Canis lupus familiaris: one gene and its partner. The main gene of each other region encodes a partner of the protein of the gene in region 2 in a complex. Links are inferred from orthologs where the notes say so. Each region holds a gene or a part of one and is shown on either strand. Other genes may lie near its edges. The genes, in order: VRK1 and PHF2.

Evidence for each region.
Region 1: the proteins of PHF2 (region 2) and VRK1 are in contact, whole or in part, in a crystal structure (PDB 8F8Y), measured with the Homo sapiens proteins. The link is inferred for Canis lupus familiaris from reciprocal best matches to the Homo sapiens genes PHF2 and VRK1. Residues at the interface, in NP_005383.3 of Homo sapiens: Tyr7, Tyr14, Val16, Thr17, Arg18, Phe19, Met20, Ile21, Glu22, Trp29, Glu39, Ala42, Ile45, Asp46, Tyr48, Lys64, Tyr145, Ser147, Glu150, Lys175, Val178, Asp179, Tyr182, Ser183, Thr184; in NP_003375.1 of Homo sapiens: Pro2, Arg3, Val4, Lys5, Ala6, Ala7, Gln8.

Annotation. Positions count from the first base shown.
Region 1 is NC_049229.1:65,852,319-65,866,945, reverse strand, and holds part of VRK1 (serine/threonine-protein kinase VRK1), read right to left. Parts: intron 14,542-14,627; coding exon 14,472-14,541; intron 13,656-14,471; coding exon 13,568-13,655; intron 10,033-13,567; coding exon 9,924-10,032; intron 9,806-9,923; coding exon 9,713-9,805; intron 7,431-9,712; coding exon 7,298-7,430; intron 6,544-7,297; coding exon 6,423-6,543; intron 6,133-6,422; coding exon 6,074-6,132; intron 1,976-6,073; coding exon 1,797-1,975; intron 1-1,796. UniProt on the Homo sapiens protein: Serine/threonine kinase involved in the regulation of key cellular processes including the cell cycle, nuclear condensation, transcription regulation, and DNA damage response.
Region 2 is NC_049222.1:98,907,264-98,921,890, reverse strand, and holds the end of PHF2 (lysine-specific demethylase PHF2), read left to right. Parts: intron 1-117; coding exon 118-233; intron 234-1,581; coding exon 1,582-1,760; intron 1,761-1,835; coding exon 1,836-1,906; intron 1,907-2,526; coding exon 2,527-2,687; intron 2,688-6,174; coding exon 6,175-6,449; intron 6,450-7,699; coding exon 7,700-7,795; intron 7,796-8,179; coding exon 8,180-8,289; intron 8,290-8,508; coding exon 8,509-8,932; intron 8,933-9,338; coding exon 9,339-9,427; 3' UTR 9,428-11,239; downstream 11,240-14,627. UniProt on the Homo sapiens protein: Lysine demethylase that demethylates both histones and non-histone proteins. Enzymatically inactive by itself, and becomes active following phosphorylation by PKA: forms a complex with ARID5B and mediates demethylation of methylated ARID5B.

The DNA of each region.
Region 1 (14,627 bases), on a different chromosome or scaffold from region 2:
AAAAAAAAAAAACTTAAAAAAGAAAACTGGTCTGGTCCAACTTGTTCAGGTTACAAAAACAAGACAAAAGGCCACCTAAAATTAACAACTCATCTACAGTTACACGGCCATCAAGCAGCTTCAGGATCTTACCTAATCTGAACTTTTATTAACTTCTTTTTAATACAAAGAATAGGCCTGGGTCAGCTATGAGGGTAGGGGCAAAAAAAGCAGTAAACTAATGAAGCAATCTAATAGTTCAGTTGTTAGTCATTTTTTTCCTCCTCTAAATGAAGCTTTATACATGTAGGGGATGATCCAGCAGGAAATTTCCAGCCTTCTGAACTACCCAAGGACACATGAGAATTTTAAGTTCACAGATGTTAGCTCTGCAGCAGACTGACCTATTCAGCTATAAAGTCAGCCAAGCTGCAGAAACCAAATTTTCTCCAGCATGTAAGTCCAAATAACAGTGATCTGAAAAGTAAGAGGGTATGGCACTGGACATGTTCTCACTGCAACAGAGATCTTTATTTCTCAATCAGCAAAATTTTAGAGGAAAACACCACAGAAGCTATCTATGAATATTAATGCACAGAAACCTGTCCTGAGCAGAAAGGTGCAAGCTGTATGTTTACACATACATGCAAACTATAAGTTTACTACCTTACTGAAAAATCCCACTCGAGCTGCCATTTTATCCTCTTCATTTCAAAACTGGACATGGCTTTCAGCACACTTGTTGACCACAAAAATGGAGCGATGCAATTAAGACAAAACTTACAAAAGAAAAAAATTTAGATGTAGGTGCATGTGCATAATTTCAGATTTGGAGCGAAACTACACAGAGACCTAACTGCCAAAAAAAAGTCAAATTCAAGATACAATTTCAAAATTCCCATCTCCTTTATAACATTAACTTATAAAGTTAAAAAGAATTATAAAAACCTTTTAATAATGCTGCTTCTTATTTTAAGAAGAGAAAATTTGCTTTTAAACCCTTTTTCTCATAGTTTGGAGATTTCCAAAGGAATCTACTGGAATTTACAGAGTCAGTAACAGGAAAAGTAGTATTGTAAAAAAATATTTTTTTTCTAAGAGTAGTTCTTCTTTTTGATTTAAATGCAGGTAGCACATTTTATTCAATAATTTCAGACTATAAAGGAAATCTGAGTTAGTAATTTAATTAAAAATATCCAATAAGTTAATTTTAAAGTCATACCAAGAAGTTATTTACATGCCTGCACAATACTTTGCCCACAATGTTCACTGTTAACATAGCTGTCCGATAAGTGAACCTCTTTCTATGCAGATACATAGCTTTACATAATGACATTTCTATAAAGAGCAAACTAATGGTCAAATGGTAAGCACCCCACACCAGCAAACAAAGAAACTTTCGAACACTAATTTTCAAATAGTCATTTTCAAACACTGATTTTCAAACGGTAAATGCTTTGACCACATCAACAAAGGAGGAAAAGCTAAGAGAGAAGACCAACCGCACTCAGTGGCCTGGGAGAAAAAAACACCCACACTCTAAATCGCATGCCCCATCCCAATCCCCCTGTCAGTGGTCAGTATCCCAAGTGACAATCTTTCCAGGAATTTACTAACTTGCTACTGCACATAAGAAACTGATACTTATTCATTCTTCTACAACCCCCTACATGTTTTTGTGCCTTTACCTAATGGTGATAGATATTTAATTGCCAAGCAATCTGTTACATTTTTCTTTACTGATTTATTTCTCTAAAATTAGTTTGCGGCAATTATCATCATAGGAGGCCAAAGGATAACTTAGGATCAAAATTCACCTTCGTCATTGACTTTGCTCTCAAGCCTCCATTCTCCACGGGGCTGAGGTCCAGCTTGCCATCATCCTTGCTTCCTATAGCTTTTAGTCCTTGCAAAAGAGTGTCTCGCAAGTTCTGATAGAGAGGTTTCTCAGCATAGCCCAGTAATTTCACTGTTTCCATGTATTTAGCAATTTCATCTAAAAGAGTAACATAATTGTTCTGTAATTTTTTAATCACAAATACAACAGATTTATCTCTTACTTCTAAGAAAATAACTCACAGTAAAATTAGAATGCAAATGTGTATCCTGTTAAAATATGTTTTTTACATAAATCACTTCTTCAATAGAAAGTACGCTTTTGAAGTCGGGAGCTGTCAGATAAGTGAAATAAGAAACTTATTTTGAGATAGAATGTAAAAGACATTTTTGTAATTCTAAGGGACAAAAGATGAGACACATATTAAAATTTAAACATGCACGAAATAACTGCTGTAGTTTTAAGGCTACAAAAACAAAACAGGAAAGGACCTCAAACAGATTATAAAGTAAAAGGTACTTAAGTACAAGGACGATCACAGCCGTATTTTTTTTTTTTTTTTTTGCCACAGAAGCCATTAATTCTATAGAAAATAGCTGCATTCTTTGTGAAAATGGGAAATAAAACATACCAAAGCCAAGTTGAAGGGAGAAAGAAGCAAGACCTACTTTTCCCATAAAAGAGGAAAATCAGCTTCTGAATGATGAAAGGCTCACTGTACACTGAGGCAGGACCAATCCCCTAAAAAGAAATCTTACTAGTCAAGATAGACACTCCTCAAGGCCAGAAATCCATCGTTAAGCTAACGACTCCTACATCCCCAGCCTCATCCGTCCACTGGCCCCCAGGAACCTGTGTGCCCACTCCTCTTGGATCTCCAACTATCCTCTTGAATCCCAACAAATCCAAATCCAAACTCCTGACCTATCCCTCCACCTGCTCTCCTGCAGTTCCTCCCACCCCAGTTACTGAGAATTCCATCCTTCCAGCTCAAGCCAAAAACTCTTCCCACACCCCACATGCCATAAACCAAGAGATCCTGAGAGCACTACACACACACACACACACACACACACACACCCTCATTCAAACACTGACTAGCACTTACCATGCGACAGGCACAATTCTAGGTACTTGGGATATGTGAGGAAAAAAGAAATGGAAATCCCTCCCTTCATTTTCTTAATCTATAGAGGATCTATGGAAAATCTAAAGCAAACTTCACCTAATAAGGTCACATATGGAAAACCTTCCTTCGGAGGGGGTAAAATGTGAAGCATGTCCACATTCACCACTTCTGTTCAGTGTAATAGTCATCTACGCTTTTAGTCAGTACCGTAAAGCAAGAAAAGAAAGAGAAGGCAAAGAGAGTGAAACAGTTTATCCACAAACACAGCACTGTATGCAGAAAACCCTAAGGAATCTATAAAAAAAACTAATGGGACTAATAGGTAAATTTACCAGGTTACAGAATACAAGGTAAATATTTAAAAAATCATTTTCTATGTATCAGCAACAAGCAATTGGAAAATAAATTTCTTAAAAAATAGATCACTGGGGCAGCTGAGTGGCTCAGTCAGTTAAGCCTCTGACTCTTGGTTCAGCAGGAGTCATGATCTCAGGGTCGTGAGAACGAGCCCCTCAATGGGCTCTGTACTCAGCAGGGAGTCTGCTTCCCCCACCCTCCGCCCGTCCTCCTCCTGCTCTCACACACATACACACACACACACACACACACACACACACACATGCTCTCTCTCTTTAAAATAAAAAAAAATCTTAAAATAAAATTTAAAAACAGATCATTTACAATGGCATCAAAAAAACATCAAATACTTAGCAACAAATACGATGAAGACAGGCAAGACTTTTTACAGACAAAATTATAAAACACAGTGAAAGAAATGAAGTGGAGGATATACTTTATTAGTAGATTGGAAGACTCACTAGTACAAGGATGTCAGCTGATCTAGAGTCATGGCAATCCCACTCAAAATTCCAGCAAACTGGAAAGGGAGGGGATGTGTGTGGAACTGACAAGGTGGCTCTAAAATGTACACAGATACTCAAAGGGTCAAGAATTGCAGAAGACCAAAGTCAAGTTAAGGAGCATCAGTGCTGAAGGACTTATACTACCAGATGTCAAGACTCAGTCAGAATCATTATGACACTGTGGCGCAAGAACAGACAAAAAGAATAACAGAAAGAAGGAGTTCAGAAACAGATCCACAGATCCACACTTGATTTAAGACAAAGGTAGCACCATAGACAAGAAGTGTTTTCTTCAAGAAAAGCTACTCGGTCAACTGTTTATAAATATGGGGGTGGGAAAAAATCTGGCCCCTCCTTATATAAGGCACAATAATCAATGCTAGGTGGACTAAACATCTATATCTGTAACAGGGGATCTATAATTGCCAAAAATTGGAAACCATCAACAGCAGAATAGTTAAGTAATAGGATATAAATACAACAGACTACTATTAGAGATGAGAATGAACACATCACTGTTAAACATGCAACAATGGGGTCCCATGAGGATCAAATGCACAGCATGGGGACTATAGTTAATAATCTGGTACTACAGACTGGAGAGTGGCTGAGCGTAGATCTTAAGCATCCTCACCACACACACACACACACACACATACACCACAAAGTTAACTGTGAGGTAATAGAAGTGTTAATTATCTTGATCTTGTTAATCATTCTATGATATAAACATATATCAAATCACCACATTGTACACTTTAAATGTATACAATTGTATTTGTCAATAAAGTTAAAAAATAAATAAGTAAAAACATTAAGAAAAAACCCCATGCAACAATGGAAATGCATTTCACAAATACAATACTGAGTAAAAGAAACAGGACTCCAACAGAGCTAGCAGTCAAGATCATGAGGGCAGGGATTTTTATCTACGTTGTTCACACTCTATGATTCCATTTTTTATAGAGCTCAAAAACAAATCTTAGGGGTTGGAAGTCAGGCAAGTTATTCATTAGCCTAGAGGGAAAGGCTCATGATTCGTAGGAGGCACAAGGGGGGACTCTGAAAAGCCTATAGCGTTCCATTTCTCATATGGTACTTGGTAAGACTGCAATTTTAAACTGCATAAGGTCAGAGTGGACTACCCTAAAAAGGAGACAAATGAGCAAGGGCTTGAAAAGACATCTAAATATGTGTGAAGTAACCACTTCTCACTCCTCCCACTGCTACCTCCCTTCCCTGGATCTCTGTGGTGGCCCTCCTAGCCGGCTCCTGCTCATACTTGCCTTCCTCCCTTAGCAGTTTATTCTCAGAACAGGAGCTAGAGAGTTCCCTTAAAAATACACATTGATGTCACTCGTCTACTCCAAACTTTACACTCCTGCTCAAAGTAAAAGCCAAAGCCCTTATAATGGATGGCCTAAAACAACGCAGTCCTCTAGTTCACCAGACACACTGTTCCCCAGACTTGCACAGAGCTCAATCCCTATCTCCAACTGCTCAAATGTCACCCTTCTCAATAAGGCCATCCTGGCCACCCAATTTTTTTTTTTAATTTTTATTTATTTATGATAGGCACACAGTGAGAGAGAGAGAGGCAGAGACACAGGCAGAGGGAGAAACAGGCTCCATGCACCGGGAGCCCGACGTGGGATTCGATCCCGGGTCTCCAGGATCGCGCCCTGGGACAAAGGCAGGCGCTAAACCGCTGCACCACCCAGGGATCCCCCTGGCCACCCTATTTAAAATTCCAACTCCCCCTGACTGTACTCCCTACCTCATCCCCACACTCACTAATTCTATTCCCCACTTTCTTTTTTTCCATAGTACTAACCACAGAATATACTATAAAATCACTCCTGTGTTTACTGTGTGTCTCTCCCAACTACAACATGAGCTTCATGAAGACAAAAATTTCTCTTTATTTAGTTTACTGTTGTAACTCTAGTATCTAGAACAGTTCCTGGCATTCAATCAAGCCTCAATAAAAAAAAAAAAAAAAAAAAAAAAAAAAGTTGAATTTATGAATGAAATTTGGTTTCCTTTCCTGAAAGTTGAACAATAACTTAAGGAAGCTCAAATCCCCATTTAGTCCACCTTTGGAAAGGGGTCTGCTGTCATGATGAGAACAGGCCTCTATACAACAATCACACTTGAAAATACCTAAGCTCTTACTTTACGGGATATGCTGTGCACATCATGATTCTTAATCTTTTTCTCCCAGAAAACGAAAACCTTATGAACATTTAAGAAGTCTTTTCCTACCTGGCTTGTTTCTCTCAGGAAAACATTTGTCCATCAAACCAGCAATATTCTCTCTATATCTGTTAAAAATTAAAGAATGAGTCATTGTTTGAAGCTTTATACCATGGAAACTTATTAATATTTAATGACAGTAAATAGCACAATAAGCAGCACTGCGTTACATCCTAAATATGCTTACAGGCTTTCTTCTAAAATAAACAGAAGACAGAACCAAGGACTCCTCCTATTTAGCAAGTACTTTCTTATTTCTACATCAGTAGCCATTAAAACTATAGTCTCTTCAAGAAATTCTGACATACACATTTATCTTATCATGATTTTGCCCAAGATAATTTAAGTTTTCCTTTACCTCATTTTGGAATCTCTAACATAGTTAGGATCTTTCAAATTATCTTCCCATGGAAGATGACCACTAAGCCACTGGATCATGCAATAACCAAGTATTTCCAAATCACCACGTCTTGATGGGGCTGTGAATACAAAAGAAGCAGGATAAGGATACTAAAATCACTTTCAGGTATAGTTTCAAATATATACAAACCAATAAAGTAAAACAGCCAATCTTACAGTCTTGTTTTTCATCAAAACTTATCATTGCATTTAATAAAAGTACTGAATAAATACTTGGCAATACGAAAGAAGTCATTTACATCCAACTAACAGCTTACTTTAAAATCCAAATTGGCAAACTCTAGAGTTTCAAACTAAGACTATGAGTGTAGGAAATAAACTATAAAGTGGAGACACATTTAATATTGCTCTTGGAAAACCTGAAGACACTAAAATGCTATGAGCTACGGAGAGGCCCAGAGAACTGGGGGTCTCAGCTCCTCTATACTGTACGGGCCCCAGAAAAGCAAAATGCCTGCTAAAGAAAGCAGGATGATTTCACAGGTAAGAAAGTCAGTTTGCCTGCCGCCAAGTCATGGCTGCCTAAGAAACTTATAGACTTTTAGGGGGAATAACACCCCACATTCAACTAAGCTAAAGAGAACCAAAAAGAAATCCTGAGCTGAACCAAACCACCTTCCCTGCTCAAACCATGGCGTCTGTGAAGGACAGAAGGGGACCACAGGGAAAGACAAGGTGGCAGATTACAGGGCTGGAAGAGTCTAACCTCTTCCCCGGATCCCTCCCTGGCCTTACCTTGCCTCTGCAATTCTTATTTATTTATCAGCTTGTTTATTTGTACAAGATTAAGAACCAGGGAGGAATCTGACATACCCACACCATTGTGCGCATCAATGCTGGTGAATTCAATTGTGCCATCATGACATCTTTTGGGATCTTCCTTATATTCTTTATGAATTCCTTCTGGGCAATACCGGTAAGCAAGGCCGTAATCTACCAAGTACACCTATAAATGTCCAAGCACAAGGTAAAATCAAAGCCAAAATGATTGCACATATAATCCTTTATGGCCCAGAGATAAAATACTTCATTTAAAGGTGGATTCATCTGCAAGGCCACACCACTGTACCCCCCAACAAGTGAGATCCAATATGCTAACAACAGCAAATACTGAATTCTGAAAGACTTTTTTTTGTTTTTAAAGATTTATTTATTTATTTTTAGAGAGAGAGAGCATGTGTGTACACAGGTAGGGAGGGGTAGAGGGAGAGAGTCTCAAGCAGACTCCATGCTGAGTGCACAGTGCAACACAGGACTTGATCTCACAACCCTAAGATCATGACCTGAGCCAAAACCAGGAGTCAGAACATTTAATGGACTTCGCCACCACGGTGCCCCAATTCTGAAAGACTTATTTCAAGAAAAATGTTGAGTGATCATGTCACTAAACTCCAGACACTATCACCTGACTTTATATACTTTTTAAAATAAGCATGTTATACTTGTAATTAATCCTGTCTGCTAACTTGAGCAAAGATTATAAATCTTGCACTTTTTCTTGCAGGGTCTAAAACAGAATAATTGGGCAGAGAGGAAACCATCAATATTTGTTACAACTGCCCCACACCAAATATAAGACTACTGGTGTAGATGATACATGATACATTATCTTCTATTCCTCTGCTCCTTCACTTACAAAATATTCTAATTATCAATTCATTTCATAAAAGTAGTTCAGATTACAATAATGATCTGAAGAACCTTTAGATGACTTTTATCTATAATATATGAGATATATTATATAATACATAATTTAAATATTATATAATAAAGCTTCATAATTAAAACTAAATTTTAATACTACAAAGCACATATCTGTGGGCATGTATGTGTGGGTTTGATGAGCATAAAAGCTAGTAAATTTGGCTTTCTTCTAATCCATAGCCATGTATCACATCTCTAATTCTGGGTAACTGTCTCACAAATGTATGCATGTGATCACAAGAGGAAACTGAAGTAAAAATATAGGGACAGATCTAACACACACATCTAACACTAGAAAAATAATCCCATCCAAAGCATATGCCCGAAGGATAACAGAGATGCAAAAATATTTTCCTATAAACAAAAGGCAGCATATTTTGGTTAATTGCAAACTGAAATCAATGGTATTTTTATTTATTACATTGTACAAGTACAGTTCGCCTCAATTAATGGAATCCTTATGCTTAATGGAATCCTCAGCTATGTTGTTTGTTTGCTTGCTTGCTTTTAACCTTTTTAAAAACATCTAACACAAGATGTCTGGGAATCCTGCGAGTGCCTTTAAGACTTCCCCATGAGCATTCTACAAATATAACAACTTTCCTTTGTTGTGCACGGAAAGACCCCTGACAGCCACTGTGACAGAGATGGGGCTGGGGGGACAATGTCAGATGGACAATAAAGGGAAGGTGAAGGGACAAGTGGAAACTAAGCAAGAGGAAGTCAAAGATTGGTTTGAGAAAAAGAATAAAGTGGAGTGTCAACATAAACACACTTCAAATACCTAGACAGTCCCTTCTTACACACCATCAATAAGATGCAAGAACACATATGGAACTGATTTCCTTCAGTGGCCCTACCAGGAGTGCCTACGTCAAACCTTACTTTAACCAAAATTGTGGTACAGCTTCAAGAACATTGTATAAACCCTTCTATTCTGACTAAACTGATCCAAATAGAGATATAATAACATTAGCTTTTCTCTTTTCCTTAAAAAGTAAAAATTACAAAGTGAATGTAATAAACTAAAAAAAAAATGCACATTTGAATTCTAAACACTAAGGGTATACAAATTTAGACAGCTAAGATATTTCTGTAAACCAATTGATTTGAATAATCAACATGTTAAAGACCAAATTTTCCAAGTAATAGAACACTTACATTTGATGGATTTCTTGAACAAAGGAAATAAAAAAATGACAAAGCAGACAGGCAAACATAATTCATCGGTGCACTATATAATTTTAAACTTCCACCCCCAAATAGCTATTTGAAATTCATTTTGTATCACAAGCACTTCTTCTGAATATTATTTAGGGCAAAATAGCCAACTTGATAAAGTGCCAACAAATCGCATCAAAAATGTAGAATGTTAACTAGATAAAAGTGTCAAGAAGAAATATTATTATTACCATATCGACTCCAAAAAGTAAAACTTCTGCACAGGTTCAAAAGTTCAAAGCAACCATATTTGTTTTCAAACAACAGCTTTTAACTAGTAGAAATTAAACTTAACAATGCTACCTGGTCAGGATTCTTGTAGCTCAGGAGCAGATTTGAGGCCTTGATATCTCCGTGTACGTACTCATGCTCGTGAATATATTCCAGAATATCCAGCTATGAAAGCACCATATAGAATAAATTAATGCAGTACCTAACACCAGCCAGCAGAGGACCGAGCTTCAACGCAACTCGCCTTCACTGGATTAAAACAAGAGGAATGTAGCTCACATACAATTCTCAAGCTTAGCTGCAAGACAGTTTTCCGAGAAAACCTTCTGGCATTTGCTTCATATATTTTCTGAAGGTCACTCCCAAAGCGATCCATTATCATAAACCTGTAACTAAAGACAAACAAGAAAAGTCAATGAAACAAAACAGAACTCGGGTAACCTACTTTGCAGGGACTACTCTCACAGTCATTTTTTTCAAGTCCATGTTTAGTAAGAAAGCAGAAGGAAAAGGGAAGAAAGAAGAAAGGAGGAAAGAAAGACAAACATTTGAAACCATTTTTTCCAACTAGAAATCTCAGAGTTGGGAATACTTCCCTGTCCTGCCTGAGGGCCTTCTCCTGGTGGCAGCCAGGTAGTTTCCTGAGACACCCATCAATATAAGGTAATTAGCCCACAGACTGACTCCAGCTGATTCATTCACAGGAAAGATAAGACAATATGAGTAAGACCAGTATCACGGATTTTCTTCCCGCCAAAGTCAATTCATGTTTCTGGATATTAGCTTGTTGTCTGTGACCGTTTTTCTCTATTTTGGGGGCACATTTTAGCAGTATTAACATTTTATTAAAATCAAGATACCAAAGATGCTATAATAATAGCTAAATTCAATGAAATTGTTTAAATGGTATAAAAGGGCTGTATGTTAAATACTCAAAGGACAAGAGTTAGGGAAGAACAAATATCCTGGGGAAATGTGCAGATTTTTGATTTTGCCACAAACCCACTAGGTCACCTTGGCTGACTCACATCACTTCTTTGAGCCCTGATTCCCCCGGGTGTCAAATGAGAGCGTGGGGCCTCATGTCTACGGAGGTCTTTTCTGGCACTTGAATTCTAACCCTCGACAACCGTGACACTTCTGTGTGTGCCCAAACAGCAACACCTCAGTCCAGTAACACAGTTCACCTTATGCTCTAAGGATCACTTTTATCTTTACCAAGTTTTCCAGATTCTGATTTGCCTGGTTAAATCACTCTGAAAAATCGTAAAAACCAATACCACACTCACAATGTATCTTCCAATGAGGATAAGATTAATGATGATCATCATAACCACACCTATCACTCACTGAAGCCTTGGTCTACTTCACATGTATTAGTGCATGTCAACCTCACATCACCCTCATGAGGTAGAGGCTCCTATTCACCCCATTTTACAGCAGAAGAAAACTGATGATTGGTAATTTGCCTTCCAGGAAGTGATGGTGTCATTCTTTTTCACATATCCAAATAAATAAACGTCAGTGGTACACAAAAAATCCCACTTATTTTTATCTGTGAAGCCTACAACAAATACCATATGACAAGTTCAACAGGGAAGGAAAGCTAACATTAAAAGATAACATGACAAATAAAAAATCAGGATTCTATTCATTTTTGAAGTGGAAGGGAATGAGAGATCCTCTTATCTAAACATCTTTTAATAAATAAATTAATGTGTATACACATAAAATGCTTTGTCCAAAGTCATATAATTAGAGCAAAATGCATTCATTCGTGCAAGATTTTCCAGTACACCATGATCTCTATCATCATAAAGAAGGAACAATAATTCTGACTTCCTGATTTCATTTGTACAACTTGATTTTGGAGGGAGGACAAAAGGACACAAATACACATTTGTTTTTATGATAAGTGATGTAATTAGTATAATATAATACAGGGGTAACGAAAATACAACCTCTGCTAACAGTCTAAAAGAGGGCTAAAACACAATTGCTTAATTCAACATGAGATCTATTAATACATCACACTGAGTACATCTTTGTTTTTATTCATAGACCACTCCACCACTACTGTAAATAATCCCCTAATCGTCTGTTTCAAATTATACACATCAACTGATTTTCCCATCATTTGTGCCATTTTATCTAAGTCCCCAGGAAAGTAGACATTGATGGCTTTCCCTTGGAGGAATTACCTAGAAATAACTTTCATTTTACTATTCAGTGGGAGAAGCATTCTTACAAAAGAAGGTGGTGAAGATTTCCATGCTTCCACACCGCTCTCCTCTCCTCACCCCAGTCTCCATTACCAGCCTCAGGCCCCTTCTCCCTTCCAAATGCACACCCTGTTCCTGGTGAAAGAGTGATGCTGAGTGCCACACAACAGGCCAAAATCCTACCCTGGCCCTGCATTCATATTACTCTCCCACCTGAGATGCTATCCTGCTCTCCAATGGTTTTCTAAATCAGTAGTTCTGAACATTTAAGGGATTAAAATCCCCTTGAAAGTAAAAGTTAACACAATATTTTACATATATTCTAATAGCTTTTGTTTCATCCTCCTTATTAAGTGGGTAGCTGTTATTCAATTTCACAAACAAGGAAATCAAGGCAAAAGGAGTAACTTACTTAGTCACATACATTTTAAGGAGCAAAACACAGATTTGAAACCCAACAATATGGCTCTAGAACCCTTGCTCTATTCATAATAACTCCTTGCTCTATACTATTTCTCCAAAATTTCCATGAGAACTATAGAGAATCGTCCCAGCAAAACCTTATATAACAAAACGCCATTATTTCAGGAAGTTCGCACACTCGCTGAGGGATACACAGATCCCATGATAAGAACTTCCAAGTAAAAGACAACACTGGCTGCCTATCTGACAACTACCTCTCCTCTCCATCCTTTTCAACAAAGCACCAACTGGGTTCAGGCATTCTGTCCTCTTCCACGTGGCCACGTGCTCCGCCATGCCAATCACTGTGATCGCTCGGCCTTTGCCAGTGACTAGTTTAAGAATGAGCACTGATACAACCCCAACCAAGAAAACACGAGAGGAAGGGAGGTTCCCTTGCAGGAAAATGAAACACACAACAAGCAATACTTTCTACTGCTGTGGGCTGCTGTGTTTGCATGTGATGCCTAGAAATAGGGCAGCTAGCCACCCTGGGACCACATAACAGAGAATTAATACAGCACAAAGCCAAGAAGAGGGCAAAAGGGCATGATAAAGGAAGCAAGATGATCACTCCAGAGAGCTGAGTCATTTTTCCTTTACCTGCAGCTGAAAGCACCCAATACACCCCCAGAGCCAGACTAAATCTACTCTTCATATAGCTACCAGCCTTATTCCAAGAAGCTCCAGTCATTCATTCAAGTATTTTTAAAACATCAATCACTTTAAAGTATGGGAGGTTTTCTCCAACTCAGCTGTGCCAACTATGTTCTCTCTCCAATCTCGGAACTCCTAAGACATGAACGATTTGGAGTTACACAATTTAGCAGCACTTAGTGGTTTTAATCGTTTCATATATGTTTGTTTCTTCTCATCAGCTAGACTGAAACGTCATAAAGAGGGGGACGATGCTATGGGTAGATCATATATCTAATATGAAACACCGAATTGAAGCCTGAAGGGCTCCCTTTCACATTAAGGATATGGAGCATGCTTCCTTCCTTATTTGTAAGAGAAATAAATGCAAGGTGCATTTGCTTTGTTCCTACTCATCAGCTGGGTTCCAGTCAGTTGCTAGTGCTTTTGCACAAGTCCTCCAGACTCTAAATAATGTCTTGTTCATCTCTGTCAAGTGCATGCCATGTAGCCCAGATGAAGGCCCAGCAGTACTGCAGGTACTCAGTAAACAGTAAATGGTGAATGCTCAACAGGGAGAAGAAAAACAATACATGCATAGTTTTACCTCTTTCCATTTTTATCATGTAGACCAGACCCCCAGTACTTAGGGACACCCAGGTACTTCAGTTTATGGGTACGAATCCACTTCTGAACTACAAGTTAAAAACACATGCTTGTGATTTCACTTTTGTTTTAAATAAATCTCCTTTTTTCATTTTTTAAATTGTTAAGAGTAGAATGTACTTATACATGCAATAAGATTTCATCTTTTTTTCATAAAAAAGGGAACACGTTATAATAACAAATAACAAGTACCTTACAATCAAAGCATTTTTATTAACCCACAAAATTGTGTTACCCTGCTCTAAACACTGTCTTTAAAATGAAAAATCTGTGAAAGGCATTTTAAAAAAAAAGAAAATCCAACCACAGTAACTCTAGTGGCAGTTACTAGCTCTAATGATGTAAATGGTTACTTGCTTCTCCAGAAAGACTTAATTTTTACCCAACCTAGAAGTTGTTTACCTCATTTCTAAAGGTTGTCAATCAGGAAATGAAGCTCAAAGGAGGGTGGCTTGAAGAGGTCCTGCTCTCTTCCCAGTAGTCTGTTCTAATTCATCAATTACAAAATCCCCCTCCACCCAGGTTATGCTGTCCAGACTTTAGAAAAATGTCTCAAAAAGACTGGGATGGATATCCTTAAATCCTATGCATGAATTAGGATTACTTCTCAATTTTTAACAATATTTCCTAAATCATATATCCTTTACTAACTTTATTCTATATATTAATATAGGTGAAATCTTATATCAGAATTCTTTCATACACACCTCATCAAAATGAAATTTATTTACGAAGTAGAAAATAAAACTAACAAAGCATCAGAGTATCAGACCCAGTGCTCTAGTCCTGAGTTCACACAAGCAGTGGTCACTTTGAGACTGTACACGTATGTATGTATTCCTTACTTTGCTCTGGTTTGGCTGCTCGCTGGTAGAACTTCAGTTCAGTAAAGAGAGGTCCGTTGTCACTGGGTTCCTTAAAACATAAGAGGTAATTGGTGCTAGCAGTGCTTAACATTATGGAGTCATTTTCAATGAAACTTCAAAAAGCACTAACATCAG
Region 2 (14,627 bases):
CCCGGGGCGGGACTGGGTCCTTTAGGCCCTGAGTGACAGAGAGCAGGGGTTCCTGGGCAACGGGTCGGAGGGAAAGCTAGCTGGGGGCTCAAGGACCGTCTTGGGCTTCCTTTTCAGAACAGCAAACCTGATTCCCTGCTGAAGATGGAGGAGGAGCAGAAGCTGGAGAAGTGTCCTTTGTCGGGGAACAGGGACCCCAAGTTCTCATTTTCCTTTAACAGGAGGCTGCTGAGGTAGGTGCACGCTCACACACATGTGCCCTGTCCACGGGCTCACACATGCCATACGTGCTCACACGTGCTCACATCACACACCCCCGTTATACACACACACATATGCTCCATCACAAGTGCTCACACATATCATACATGCTCATATCACACACCCCCATTACACACTTAAACACACTCATGCCCCATCACACATGTTCACACACATACATGCTCACACGTGCTCACACCACACACCCCCGTTATACACACACATGCTCACGCACATGCACCCCGTCCATGGGCTCACACACGTCATAACGTGCTCACATGTGCTCACACCCCCGTCACACATGCTCATGCACATGCGCCCCCTCCTGCAGGCTCCCCAGCCGAGGCCCCCCCCTCCCGAGTGAGCAGACCCCATCCCTGCCTCCCAGGCCGTAGCCCTGGTGGGTGGAGAGGGGGGCAGCTGGCAGAGGAGCAGAGCGTGACTCGGTTGCTGTCCTGGGCTGGTGCAGAGGGAGTAGGGTGGGTCAGGGTCCTGGCCTCAGAGCACAGAGACTGGTGGGGAGGGGCCAGCGTGAACCTCATATTATCAAATGTGCCTAAAATTATGGCTGAGATGAGGGCTATGGAAGAATGATTTGTGGGGCTTCCAGGGCCCGAGAAATCAGGAGGGCCTCCTGGAGGAGGTGGCACTGAGCTGAGGTGGAGGCCATAGCCTGAGAGGGTGTGTGTGTGTGAATGGGTACATCCATGTTCTAGACCATGAACGGGCACATCTTCTGAGCAGCTTGGCTGGCCAGCCACCCCTCACCCGCCGAGAAGCCCCACCTGCTGTGGTCTGTCTGAAGTCAGGGTGGGCGCCCCTTGGCGGGGGAGCAGGTGGCTGGGGCCAGTGTCCTGCCCTGGCCTTCAAGGCCCTCACTACAGGTAGTGGGGAGACAGGGCCACTCAGGGCCTGGCGGGATGAGCCGGGGGTCTTGGTCACGGAGGAGGCAGCAGCAGTGCGCACGTGAGCCATGTCACCCCATGTGTGCCCCATGTGCAGCAGGGCTGCCTGGTGTTCGGAGCCACCCTGCTGGGAGCTGACGCGGGCCTGCCCTGCCCACTGTCCCCGATGTCCCCACTGCCCCCGCTCTCCCCACCGCTGGGCACGCCCAGAGCCTTCCTTGCCCTGAGGGAAGGCCCTGCTGAAGGATGGTCTTTAAGAATATCGTCTGAATTTATGCTCCCGAGAGCTGTGCAGGGGATGCAGGACATTGGCATGAGCCAGGCTGGTGCGGGACTCTGCGTGGGGGCTTGGGGAGCACATTATCGAGGCCTAGCAGGGGCCGTGGGGACGCTGACACTGCTCGTGCTGCCGCAGCCCCAAGGCCCTGAAGCCGCAGCCCAGCCCGGGCGTGTTTGGGGCCATGCAGAGCTTCAAGGAGGACAAGCCACAGCCGGTGCGGGACGAGTACGAGTACGTGTCGGACGACGGGGAGCTCAAGATTGACGAGTTTCCCATCCGGAGGAAGAGGACCGCCCCCAAGAGAGACTTGTCTTGTGAGTGAGGGCGTGAGGGTGGGGAGTGGGCCGTCCTCCGTGGCCTCTGCCAGACGCCCGTCTGCTGTGTTTCAGTCTTACTGGATGGGAAGGAGCCACTGCCCACGCCCGTCACGAAGCCAAAGCTGGAGTCCGCACTCTACAAGGTGAGGCCGAGCCGTGTGTCCATGCCTGCCTTGGGCTGGTCTGCGCACGCAGGACCCTGCTGATGGCCTGGTGTGGGGGCTGCAAAAGGGTTGTCCTCTTCTGCCTCTCCTCGGGTGTTTTCATGGGGAGGGTGGCCAGGGTTCAGGCCGTGGCCCCGTGGAGGAGGGCTGAAAGCGGGGGTCTGTGGGTCTCTGCGGGTGGCTGCCCTGCCATGACCATGACAGATGGTGCCAGGCCCAGCAGCTCCCAGGAGGCCAGGTCCCTGCAGAGCCACCTGCCAGGGGCTGTGGGTCTGAGCTTCCACTTGTTCCCTGCCCAGCCCCCCAGCTCCTTGTATCTCTGGTCAGGATTGGGGTTCATGTGGGAGGCCCTGTGAGGAAACAGGGTCCTCTGGGGTCCTCTGGGGAAACAGGGCATCAGGACAGCCCCGTCCCACGGGCAGGCCTGCAGTCCCAGTGGAAAGCTCCGGCAATCTCCTGTACGGTGTGTCTGGCCAGCTGGCCCTGTGGTGCCCATTACAAGGGCTGGCTCTTTAAAAACTTGGAGAAACATCTTTCCGTGCAGGGGGAAATAGCAGGTCCCCTAAAGCCTCTGACCTGTGGCCCTGTCCCCACAATAGAGCGACGACTCCTCTGACGAGGGCTCACTGCACATTGACACAGACACCAAGCCTGCCCGCAACGCCAAAGTGAAGAAGGAGGGTGCGGGCTCGGCGGCGGGCATCCTGGACCTCCTGCAGGCCAGCGAGGAGGTGGGAGCCCTTGAGTACAACCCCAACAGGTAGGTCCAGGGTGCCTGCAGAGAGGCCGTGGGGTGCGGGTACCCCTGGGGAGGAGCCCAGGCCACGCCAACGTGGGGCCATTTGTGCCCTCACCGCAGAGGCAGGGCAGCCAGAGCAGGACCCGTGCCCCACAGAGGGGCTGCCTAGTGGCCAGGGAGGTGAGTAGGGGGCCGCACCCCACCCACCACAGTCCTGGACACTCAGCTCCAGCCGTGACGTCTGGCTGGCTCCATCTGGACGCTACCCAGATGCTCTGAAGGTCATGTAGTAAATTTTCCATGGCGCAAACCCAGCCTCCTGGTCAAGGGCATGTGGTATCTTTGAGCCCTGGGGCTGCAGAGACCTCACCCCGCAGGGATGGAGACCATGGCCTCAGAGCTTGGGGATGGAAGAGCTGTGGCCCGAGGAGGGTTCCCAGGGCCACACCCCGTGGGGCACGGGGGCCACACCAGACTGTCCTGAAGCCCCGTGTGCACCCCGACATGCCTTCGTGTGGCTGCGGCCGTGAAGGCCCGGGGTGGCCTGGCCTCTGATGGGAGATGAACCAGCTAACCCCTCTAGGCTTCGTTGGATGAAGGGCCCGGGCTCATTTTTCTGGACATGGTCCCAGTTGAATTCTCTCTCCATCTGCTTAAACTGGGTTAAGTGTTGTGTTCATTTTTTCCCCACATGGGATTTCCACAAGTAGCACAAACAGCTCACCAAGGGGTTGGGGCTCCCCGCCGCCTTGGGGGACCAGAGCCCCACCTGCCTGTTGATGGACCCGGGTGTGGGGTCCCAGGGGTCTGCATGTGCTGGGCATCGATGTCCAGGCAGGGGGACCTGCCGGGGAAGGGCAGCCTGTGCGGCCTGCAAGGGGCCTGCACGGGGCTCCCCTACATCTGCCTCTGAGGTGAGGCCATGTTTCCAGAACCCAGGTCCCAGGGCCGCGTGAACCCGCAGGGAGGCTGCTCCCGGTGGGTGTAGACACCCAAAGCCAAGGAGGTGGAGTCGAATGGCTGAGTCTCCTCTCAGGACTCTGTTCTGGGTGCCATGTTCCCTTCAGATGGCCAGAGGCCTGCATCTCCTGCCCGCCAGGAGGGACTTCTGTAGAGGTGCCCCAAGGGCCCCTCACCCACAGATGCCCTGTGGCCTCTGCCGTGGTGGGACGGGGCCTGAGGCCCCTTTGCTGGGACAAGCCTGGCTGTGACCCCGGTTCACTGAGGGCAGGGCACTGCTGCTGGTGCTGGCCCCTGGGGGCACCATTACCCTGGTGCTGCCTGAAGGTCAAGATGCTGGAGAGCAGGGTCTCTGCACGGGGGACACCGGGACCCCGGCCCGGGAGGAGGGCGGCCTGTGTGCAGTGCTACGCTCACTACCTGCAGACACTCACATGTGCCCTCACACCACCCGCACGTGCACATGCATGCCTGCCAGGCCCACCCCCTCTCCCCGCTGCAGGCGGTTCCTCTCCCCAATCTCCCGATTGGAGAGCAGGTCAGTTTTTGATGGTCCATTTGCTCTGTTTTAAGTTTTCGCTGCTGGGAAAAAAAAAGCTGAAAAAAATGGAGGGAAATATGTTAATTTGTTGTGGATGGTTGGCAGTGCGCACCGCAGGGGTAGGGGAATGTTGGAATGATAATTGGAGGATTAAGAGATTATTTTCCATGTGAGCTAGGTAGACTGTGCTCCTTGATTCACTGGCCGTGTGTGGACAGACGTGTGGCCCCTGCTGCCTGCGGCCCTGGGCTCTCAGGCCTGCCCCTTGGAGCAACCAAACTGGGCAGGGACCCCATGGTGGTGGTGGGGTCCTGTGCAGTGTGTGCCCTGGCCCCAGCCCTCCCTGCCCTGGCTGAGGGGCCGTGTGGACACCCCAGAGCCTGGAGTCACAGGGGGTGGGGAGCCCACTGCTGTTCCCCTGTGGGCAGAGGTCTGTCCTGTTCAGAGACCCCCAGTGACCGTGCTGCACAGCGCCCTTGTGCTCCAGGGCAGATCCTCGCAGTGGGGCTGGGGAGGCTGCATCCGTGGCAGGGAGTTCCTGCCTCTGCCGGGGGTGGGGGTTGCTGCCCGGACTGGACCTTTTCATTGTTTTGGCCTTGGGTCTGCAGTCCTGTTTGGCCCCAGCAGAAACCAGAGCGCTGTGGTCCTGTGTCAGGGCGGGAGCTGGGGCGGTGCCCGGGCCTGGAGCCAGCAGTGACCAGCAGGACGGTTCTGTCCACGCTGGCCTCCCTGGGCCCTGGGTGCTCCCTGGGGGCCAGCTCCACCCCCAACCTCCAGCCCGAGGCCTGGGAAGCTCTCATTTCCGCGTGGGGACTCATGGTCCCTTTTCAGGTTAAGGGTTCTACTACATGTGCTCCAAAACACTTTGGGGGGAGGGGAGGGGGGAAGGGTGTAGGGGAGGGTGTGAAAGCCGCTGATGCAGGATGATGCTGAACCTCTGACAGGGCTTGCTTGGACTGACACTTTGGCTGCTGCTTTGGGGTTGCAAGACCCCGTAGTGGGCCCTGCCCCTGGGGCACCTGGGCAGGCAGGAGGGGGCCTGGACGTCCGATATCAGGAGAGGACCCTGCTCCCTGGGCCTTCTGGTCTGTGAGGAGAGGAGGGCTGTGGGGCCCCAGCAGCCAGGCACGGGGTGGGAGCCTGTGCCTGGCTGCTGGGGCCCAGGGGCTGGAGGGAGGGTCAGTTCAGTAGGGCCCTGCAGCCCAGGGTGGGCTGTCCTGCCCCCCATGACAGGGTCCACAGGGATGAGGAGGATGAAGCTTCTAGAGGAGCCCAGACCTGTGCTTTGTGAGCTCTCCCCATCCAGCCATGTCCAGGACCCTGGTGATGCAGGGAGAGGCCCTGTGCCCCGCCCAGAGCCCAGCAGAAAGCACAGTGCCAGGCACAGCCTCATGGGGTGTCTCAGGAGCCAGAGAGCAAGTCCTGGAGGGAGGGGAGCTGGAGCTTTAGGGACTGCGGGTGCAGGGTTAGGGCAGTGGGAGGCAGCCTTGGGAAAGCACAGCACCCATGGGGGTGGCTGAGGACCTGGGGCTGAGCTGACATGTGGCCCTCTGGTAGAAAACAAGATGGAAGGGGCAGCTGCGATCAGACGCATGGGCACTCCCTGTCTGCCCCTCCCTGTGTCCCTGCTCCACGCCTTCTCTGTCCCTGCAGGGTGTGAGGGCAGACACCTGGCTGTTCCTTTTTTTTTTTTTTTTTTTAAAAAAAAAGATTTTATTTATTTATACATGAGAGACCCAGAGAGAGGCAGACACAGGCAGAGGGAGAAGCAGGCTCCCTGCGGGGAGCCCGCTGTGGGACTCGATCCTGGGTCTCCAGGATCACATCCTGGGCTGAAGGCAGACACTCAACTGCTGAGCCACCCAGGCACCCTGAGGGCCCCTCTCCTAAGCAGGAGTCATGAGCAACCACTGTGCTCCAGCCGTGTGTCCTCGCCGCTGAGTGGGAGGGAGCAGGGGCGGTGGGCGCTGGGCACTGAGCTGAGTGCCTGTCTCTCTGTGCCCCCAGCCAGCCCCCGGCCTCCCCCAGCACACAGGAAGCCATTCAGGGAATGCTGTCCATGGCCAACCTGCAGGCCTCTGACTCCTGCCTGCAGACCACATGGGGTGCCGGCCAGACCAAGGGCAGCTCATTGGCGGCCCACGGGGCCCGGAAGAACGGGGGTGGCAGCAAGAGCGCGGGCAAGCGGCTGCTGAAGAGGGCGGCCAAGAACAGCATGGACCTGGACGACTACGAGGAGGAGCAGGACCACCTGGACGCCTGCTTCAAGGACTCGGATTACGGTGAGCCCCAGGGGCGGGCAGGGCCTGTCCGCGGTGCTGGCCATGTGGGGCCGGGCCTCCTCCAGGACACGGGAGGCAGCCTTCGGAAGGTGTCCCCAGGGGAGGGGTGCCACTATCGCCACCCAGGAGGAATGCCCCTGGCCCCACCACAGAGCCCCCGTGCGTGTGCGCCATGTGTGGTACACGCTGTCCTCATGGGCTCTCCAGGGCGCGTGCCCACAGCCCCGAGCCTGTGCTGGGCTCACCCCCCACCTCCCCCGGCTGCTCCCATCCCAGTCGCCTGGCGGCCTCCACCTATCACCTCTGTGGATGCTGCGCTGTGGACGCAGGTGCGGGGGCTTTGTGAGGCCAGGTGTGGGGTGTCCCGGGCTTGGACCTGGGAGGTGGTGTTCTGGGTGGAGGGCAGATGCCCTGCCCTGGCCCAGCCACCCCACGGCCATACGCTTGCACACTGCTTGAGACCCCATCCACTTGGTCGGTCTCGGTGTGGAAAATGACACTGAGGCCCAGAGCGGCTGCCTTGGAGGTGGGCAGAGTGGGGGGGTCCCCAGGGCTGACCCCTCACCACTGACCACAGCCTTTCAGACCCTGCCCTTGGGGCTCCCAGCAGTTCGGTGGGGGCTGCTGCCGGTCTTGGGGAGGGTCTCAGGAACGAGGACCTGCCTGCACACTATGGCCTGCCCCCAGGGGTGGTTAGGGCCCAGGGGTGCTGGCTCTGGTGGTGCAGGGGCTGCCTTGGAGCTCACGCTCCTGCCCCCAGAAGAGCCCTCTCCGAGTGGAGGTTGGCCCTGGACCTTCTGCTCCACTCCCGGGGTCCTGGCTGGGAGTTGGCTGGGGGTGCCACTGGGGGGGTGGCTGGGGGCCAGTAGGGGCCTAGCTGGGCGGGTAGCTGGGGACCCACCCCAGTCTGATAGGCTGTTGGCAGTGAGCTCCCTTGGGGGGCAGGGCAGGCCCTGGAGGTGGCAAGACACCCCTATAGTGGGGGCACCTGGGGTCACCAGGGCTATCAGGTGGGGCTTGCTTCCCAGGGACCCGCTGGGTGGGCTCCAGGGATGCTGGGTGTTTCCCTCTCTGCAGCCACAGAGCAGGGGACCTGCTAGGAGGCCCTGTGGCCAGGCCCGATGGTTTGGGGGCCGCCTATGCCGTGCATGGGGCAGCCGTTCTGGGGGGGACAGCAGCTCACCAGACCTGCCCACAGAAGCTTTGTCCCCCGCGGCGTCGCTGGCTCAGGTCCTCCCCCCACCCCGTAGTTTATCCCTCTCTGGAGTCGGATGAGGACAGTCCCGTCTTCAAGTCCCGGTCCAAGAGGAGGAAAGGCTCTGACGACGCTCCCTACAGCCCCACAGGTAGTGTGTGGAACTGGGCGCCCCCTGCCCGTCCCTCTGGCTTCAAGGCTGTGGCCGGGGGTGGGGGTGGGGGCCTGCAGGGGCCTCAGTGGGGCTGCACTCCTCCTGTGAGTGGGCTAGGTGGGTGGGGGTCCCCATGGGGTCTGAGAGAGCACCCCTGGGAAGGCCATGACTGCACCTGGCAGGGTCATGGCAGCCATGGGGGTGGGGGGCTTGTCACCATCTGCATGACCCCACCTGCTTGCTCCTGTCTTGCTGGCATGGGCCCTTCACATCGGGGCTCATGTTGTGATCTTGGACAGACGGGGGCCGGGTCATGGGGCCTGGGAGGGCATGCAGATGATGGGGGGACACCGCTCGAGCAGGTGTCCTTCTCTCCCACAGCAAGGGTTGGGCCATCGGTGCCGAGGCAGGACAGGCCTGTGCGCGAGGGCACCAGGGTGGCCTCCATCGAGACTGGGCTGGCAGCTGCTGCAGCCAAGCTGTCCCAGCAGGTGAGGAGGGAGCCTACCTCTGCTCCCAGGGGAGGCCAGGGGCTGTCACGGGCTTGGGGTCACTGGAGCAGTGCTGACCCCTGGGGGGTGTTGGGGAGGCGGGAACTGGCCACTCAGGGTTGGGTAATGGGGGGTGATGGGGCAGGGGACTCATCCCCTCGCTCAGGAGGCCTGAGGGGCCACTCAGCGTCTGAGGCCGCCCATGTGCTGTGTCCAAAGGAGGAGCAGAAGAGCAGAAAGAAAAAGAACACCAAGAGGAAGCTGGCTCCCAACACGCCCTCCCCCTCCGCCTCCACCACCTCTGCCAGCACCACGTCTGCCAGCACCACGTCTGCCAGCACCACGTCCGCCTCCACCACCTCGGCCTCCACCACCTCGGCCTCTACCACCTCGGCCTCCACCACCCCGGCCTCCACCACCCCGGCCTCTACCAGCACAGCCAGTAGCCAGGCCTCCCAGGAGGGCAGCTCACCTGAGCCCCCGCCTGAGGCACATAGCAGCAGCCTGGCGGACCACGAATACACGGCGGCTGGAGCCTTTGCAGGGGCGCAGGCTGGCCGAGCCTCCCAGCCCATGGCCCCCGGGGTCTTCCTCACGCAGAGGCGGCCCTCCGCATCATCCCCCAACAACACCGCTGCCAAAGGTACCGTGCCTGCATTCCCCAGGCCGCCCACGGCTATACCGTGGGGACGGCAGGTTCCTTGTGCAGCTTGGCCATGTGTCCACAGCCACCCCTCGGCCCTTTGGACAGGAAGCTGTGGTCACACATGGGCCGGGCGGGTCTGGTGGCCTGGGCTTCAGGGCCTGGCCAGGAGGAGGTGTGGTCAGTGCCAGGCTGAAGGCTCCTGGGAGGGCCCGAGGGGATCCGTTGGGGGCAGGACTGCTGTGAGGTCCTTGGTCCCCACCGTCCCTTGGGCCCCACCTGTCTCCACCCTGTGCCTCACCCCTGTAGCAGTGCTCCCCGCCCTTGTCACCGTGCCCCAAGGGTGGGACCCCGGCCTCCCCTGACCTCTGCTCACCTGGCACATTTCCATCTCCTCTGCCTGCAGGAAAACGTACAAAGAAGGGCATGGCCACCGCCAAGCAGAGGCTTGGGAAAATTTTGAAAATTCATCGGAATGGAAAACTGCTCCTTTAAAGTTTGGAAAGCCAGGATCCTTCTGCTCCGCTCAGGACCCCCGGAGCCCCGCTAGGACATCAGCCCCCAGGAGGGCGGCTGCGCTGCCTCACCCTGGGGAGGGCCTGGCCCTCCCGGCCACCACTCCCCCCATATGAGCATCTGTTGCTTCAGCCGGCAGAGCGCACCGACGCGGACGGACGTCCTTTCTCAAGTTGCTTAGAGTGACCAGTTCCCGAAACTCGGCCCTGCCTGTTTGAGGACCATTCCAGTTCCAGGAGAGCCTCTGGGCCCCCCTGAGTGTGGGTGTGATCACAGGGCTTCTGCAGCTCTGTTGGGAACATGAGTCCTTCGAGGAAGGAGGAGTGAGCCAGTGCTCACCAGGCCCAGAGTCCGAGCTGGCCACAGGCCGGTAGGCTCCAGAGGCTTAAAAAAGGAAAGAACACTAGAGAGGAAGAGGAGGAGAGAGTGGGGTCTTCTGTGCCCCCCTGCTCTTCCTGAGTGATTCTCAGACAGTCCAGAGAGTGTGCGGCCCGGCCGGGAGAGGGGCCTCTGTGCTCCCCGGTGGCGGGTGGCGGGCCGGATGTTGGGTGTCGTGCCCTGAATGGCTGGGGCCTTTCTTGGGACGCCGGGGCCGTGAGCAGGGTCAGTGTGTTGGTGGGGAGGGGGCGCCGTCACGGGGTTCCCCCTCTCCCCCCAGGCAGGGTCGGGCCCAGCTGTGATGTGGGGCCTGGGGGCCTGGGCCAAGCCGTGGGGGGGGCCCCGTGCTGCCCCCCCGGCTACACTCCTAGAAGCACTTCTCAGCCGAGGCACCCCGCCTGGCGGGGCGGATGGCGGCGGGCAGCCCGAGGACGCGGGGCCCAGCACGTCTGTCTTGTCACCTGTGTGTTTGGTGTCGAGTCCCCAGGTGGACCCCGGACTGAACGTCCGCCCGTCGACATGGAGGGGGCTGGAGTTGTTTCTCAGGCAATCCTGTATTTTAATTTTAGATGTATCTCCTGAAGCATATTTTTCATAGAATGTAGCGTGTAAATAGCTTTTTAAATAACTTCTTTTTTATAAGAGTAAAAGTATCTTTAGGAATTTCTTTCTAGAGAGTCCGTCATTAACATTTATACGAGTTTTTTGCCGAGTATGACGAACACTTGGGTTTGCCTTCCTTCTTTCTGTTTGTTGTTCCTGTTGGTGTTACTTTTTTCTTTTAGGAACTAAGGTATTGCCTGAAAAACAAGTGGTGTCTGCGGAGCCTTCTCTGTGTGTTTGCAGCAGCAAACCGCGCCCCAGACCCGTTCCACGCGGCGGGCGCGGGGTCTCCGACCCGGACACCAGCTCTTTCTTTCCGTCTCGTTGGCGAAGGGGGTGGGGATGCAGTTATTTTACTTAGCACCTTGTGAAGTGTTTCTGTGTTTTGTGATGCTGTAATTTATTAATGTTTGTAGCTTTTTATATTTGTACATTTCTTATGAGCTTTGTTTATACGCCTGTCCCCGGGCGCCGTGTCCATGAGGCCGGCCCCGAGGCTGGCGGACGAGCTCGCAGGGCGCCCACGGCGCCCACCGTGCCGTCCCGGCGTCTGCGAGGCTCCTTTCCCATCCTCGTTGAACATTTATATAATCTAACCCGGCCATCAAGCTGTTCTCTCTCTCTCTCTCTTTTATTTTTTAAAGTTTATTATTATTATTTGGCAACATGTACATTTCTAACAAAGTTTACCGTGGCTATTAAAGTGTTTTATTTCCCAATTCATATTACTCTTGTATCGAGTCCATGAGGTCTAAGGCAGCTTAGATCAAAGTTTTAAAAGAGTAAAAATATTTCAGGTTTTGTACAGAACCATGTCTGTGTCGTTCCTGCTCACTCGCCAGCGTCTGCTCCCGCGGTGGGGGTGGTGGGAGGGGGCACCGAGGGCCCGGCCCACGTGCTGCCCTGCACCCCAGAGCCGCCGTGCCCCACGCCGCCTGCAGGAACGGCCCGAAGAGCCCGTGGGGGCCGGCGGCCTGTGGGACCCCGGCTCCGTGACCGCGGCCCCGGGCAGCCTCGGGAGCCTCCAGAAGCACCTACTGCCCACGGTGCGTACCTAGCGGAGGCCGGTGAGTGCAGGCCAGGCACCCAGAGATGCTCCGCGGCTGTGCAGGATCTGTCTACGCCCCTGCAGTCGGGACGTGGGGCCGGAGAGGACGGAGGGTTCGGGCACCCGGGAGGGACCCGCTGGGCATCCCTGCTGCCGGCCGGGCCTGTCATACTGAGGCTGGTCCACAGGGGCCGATGGGCTTGGTCTGGGCATGGGGCTCCAGCTAGCAGAGCTGCCTGTCCATGCACCAAGGCTCCAGACGCAGGCCGCCCCGCTGAGAGCGTCTGTGGGTGGGCAGTGTATTCAGACGGTGTGTGGGTGGCAGTTCATCATGTGCCATTTGTGACAAAGCACAGCAAGGTCCCTCCATCCTGCTGGGCAGCCAGCGTGGCCATCTGTGCCCCACGCGGCTGAGCGCCTCCAGGACCTCCCTGAGCTGGAGGGTTGGGGTGGGGCTCCAGGTACCCACTCTCCTGAATGGAAAGTGCTGCCCCCCCGTGGTGCCCTGTGTCCACGTGGGGCGGCCCCTCTGTTGGGCATCTCAGGCGTTGCTGCCCTTGGAGGTAGCACCGTCCCAGAGCCCCCAACAGCCCACGTCCCCCCGACTGGGCACTCTCCCTGCTTGCTGCTGTCTTATCCCTGCCCAGCTCCAGACAGATTCTGCTCCATGGCTCCGGGGGTGGGGGGGGGGGCGGGTGACCACGCTGTCACCTCACAGCCATCAGGTGCCCTGTTCTGCAGGCCCCTCTCCGGATGCCCACCAAACCCAGACTGGCCTGCCCTGAGCCCGCACCCTGGAGGCTGGGCCGTCTGGGTGCTCCTGGTACCCCTGCCTTCGTGTGGCTGTCAGGACTGGACCTTTAGAGCTTGTCTGGGGGCAGGGGGCTGAGGTCAGGGCTGGGGAGAGGCTCCCAGAGGCTACCCAGCATCCCCTGAGCCCTAAGCCCCAACGCAGGATCCCTGGGCCGTGCCCTGTGCCCCCATGGGGCCCCGCAGCCTGTGCAAGGTGTCCCAACAGGGTCCCTGGCTGGGCGTGTCTGAGCTGTGGCCCTGGGTGCACCCCGCAGGGGTGGAAGGGCCAGGTGCTGTGGATTTTCTGGGGTCTCCCCCTCCGGGCAGGGCAGGCTGTGCGGTCCGTTCATACCCAGGGCCCGGGTCCAGGTCACCACGCTTCCTTCCCACCGCCTCCACCGCCGGCCTCTGGGCTTTCAGACGTCCCCACGGGCACGAGTCCCACAAGCATGAGCTCCAGGCCCAAGGCCCCTGCCCCCGCGCCGGGCTCCCAAGGCAGTTGCAGCAGGTGCGGGTCAGCTGCTGAGGCTGACCGCCTCCAGATGGGGAGGCCCAGCACCCACTCCCAGGCTCCTGACCCCAGGCCCTAACTCCCCACCTCCCCATCCTGTGGGCCTGCAGAGCCCGAGGAGGGTGGCCCTAGGGGCGGCTGGAGCCATCGTCACCACCACAGGGCCCACGCCGCGCTCCAGCCCGGCCTTCCCAAGTCCAGCGGGATTCCATGGTCACCCACAGCTGCTACGTGCTGGGCCAGGCAGTGCTCAGAACCTTCTGGAGCCATCATCCAGCGCACTTCCCCAAAGAGGTCGCGGAGCTCAGGAGAGACCGCTGCCTGGCCTGGAGGAGGACGAGGTCTGGCCAGCGTCTGCGTGCACACCCAGGTAAGGGGGCTTCCCACGGGGAGACCGGAACGTCTTTAGCAACGTGAGCAAAGGCCCCGAGGCAGGCGGCGTCCCTCCAGGGCTCCCGTACCCCCTGGGGCTCGCCTCCCTCGGGAGCCCCTCGCTGCACCCCCTCCCTGGGAGCCTCCACCCCGCCCTGTGCCCAGCACTGTGGGCCCCTGGGCCCCCTCCAGGCTGGGGACCAGCCGGCAAGGGTCCCACTGGGCGCCTTGGGGAAATGTCAAGAGTGACCACCAGGGGGCAGGGCAGGGCCGGGAACCAACCGTCGAGGCATCGGAGTGGGAGCCAGTGGTGTGGGGGCTGTGGAGGTGGGGGTGTGGCGCCGGGGCTCAACTCTGGAAGGAGCGAGGGGTCGGTCGTCCTGACCTAGGTGAGCGCCTGGGGGGGGGAGGGGGGGGTCTGTTCCTACACCAACCAGGTCCTGGCAGCTTCACGCTCGCCACTGTCCTCGAAGGTCCTAGGACTGTCTGTATCTTAACCAGGGAGAAACTGAGGCATGCAGCCTCACAGCTGGTGGAGCTGGGGTTCAAGTGCAGGTAGGACAGTTCTCGGTCCCCAGGAGGCAAGAGCAGATGGAAGGTGGCTGCCGTGCAAAGGCCCTGAGGTGGGGATGGCTGGAGCAGGGGGCTGAATTCCAGGCAGCAGGGCCAGGTCACACTGTGGCACCGGCAGCTGTGTGAAGGGCGCAGGTGCCGTCCCCTCACCTGGTTTCGCCGCCCCCCCCCCATGAGGGTCTTTAGCTCTGCAGGCTACACAGAGACCTGCCCTCCACCCAGCCCTGCCCACCCCACCTCTGCACAGCCGAGCAAGAGGCTCTCTTTGCAGAGAGGGACACTGAGGCAGATCGTTTGGGGGGGGGTCTCTGCCCTCTTTGGGTAGAGAAGAAGGACTGTCAAGGGGGCTCCCCATCCAGGGTTTTAGAAAGGCTGCTACCCGCTAGTTCCCAGTCCTGGAAAGCAAGTCCCCTGCACAGTAATTCCCACGGTCGCAGAGGCACAACGTTCTGTCAAACACTAGGTGGCCAGTGTGACTGCATTTCCAGAGTGCCTACTGTGTGCGAGGCCGAGTGCTCGAGCTTTCCTGCGGCTGGTCCCTTACCGCTGCGCCTCCGCCTTGGCCTGTGCGGGAGGGGCAGCTTGGGCCCTGGGCTGGAGGCCTCTCGGAGGAGACAGTCTTTGAGCAGAGGGCCTGATGTAAGTGTTGGGGTTGCAAAAAGGCCTGTGCAAAGGCCCTGGGGCAGGAGTGAGCTTCCCAAGGAATAGTGGGGCACAGGGAGGGTGGAGAGCTCAGCAGGGCCAAGGTTCTGGCAAGGTCATGTCCCCTACCGGCCCTACGAGTCAGGAGGGGTGGGCACCCCTCGCCTGGCCGCCTGGCGGTGGGACCTCAGGAAGGCCTCCACCCCCTCTCTCACCCAGGGGCCGCCGGCTGTGTGATCTCCAGCAGTCACTTCCTGTCT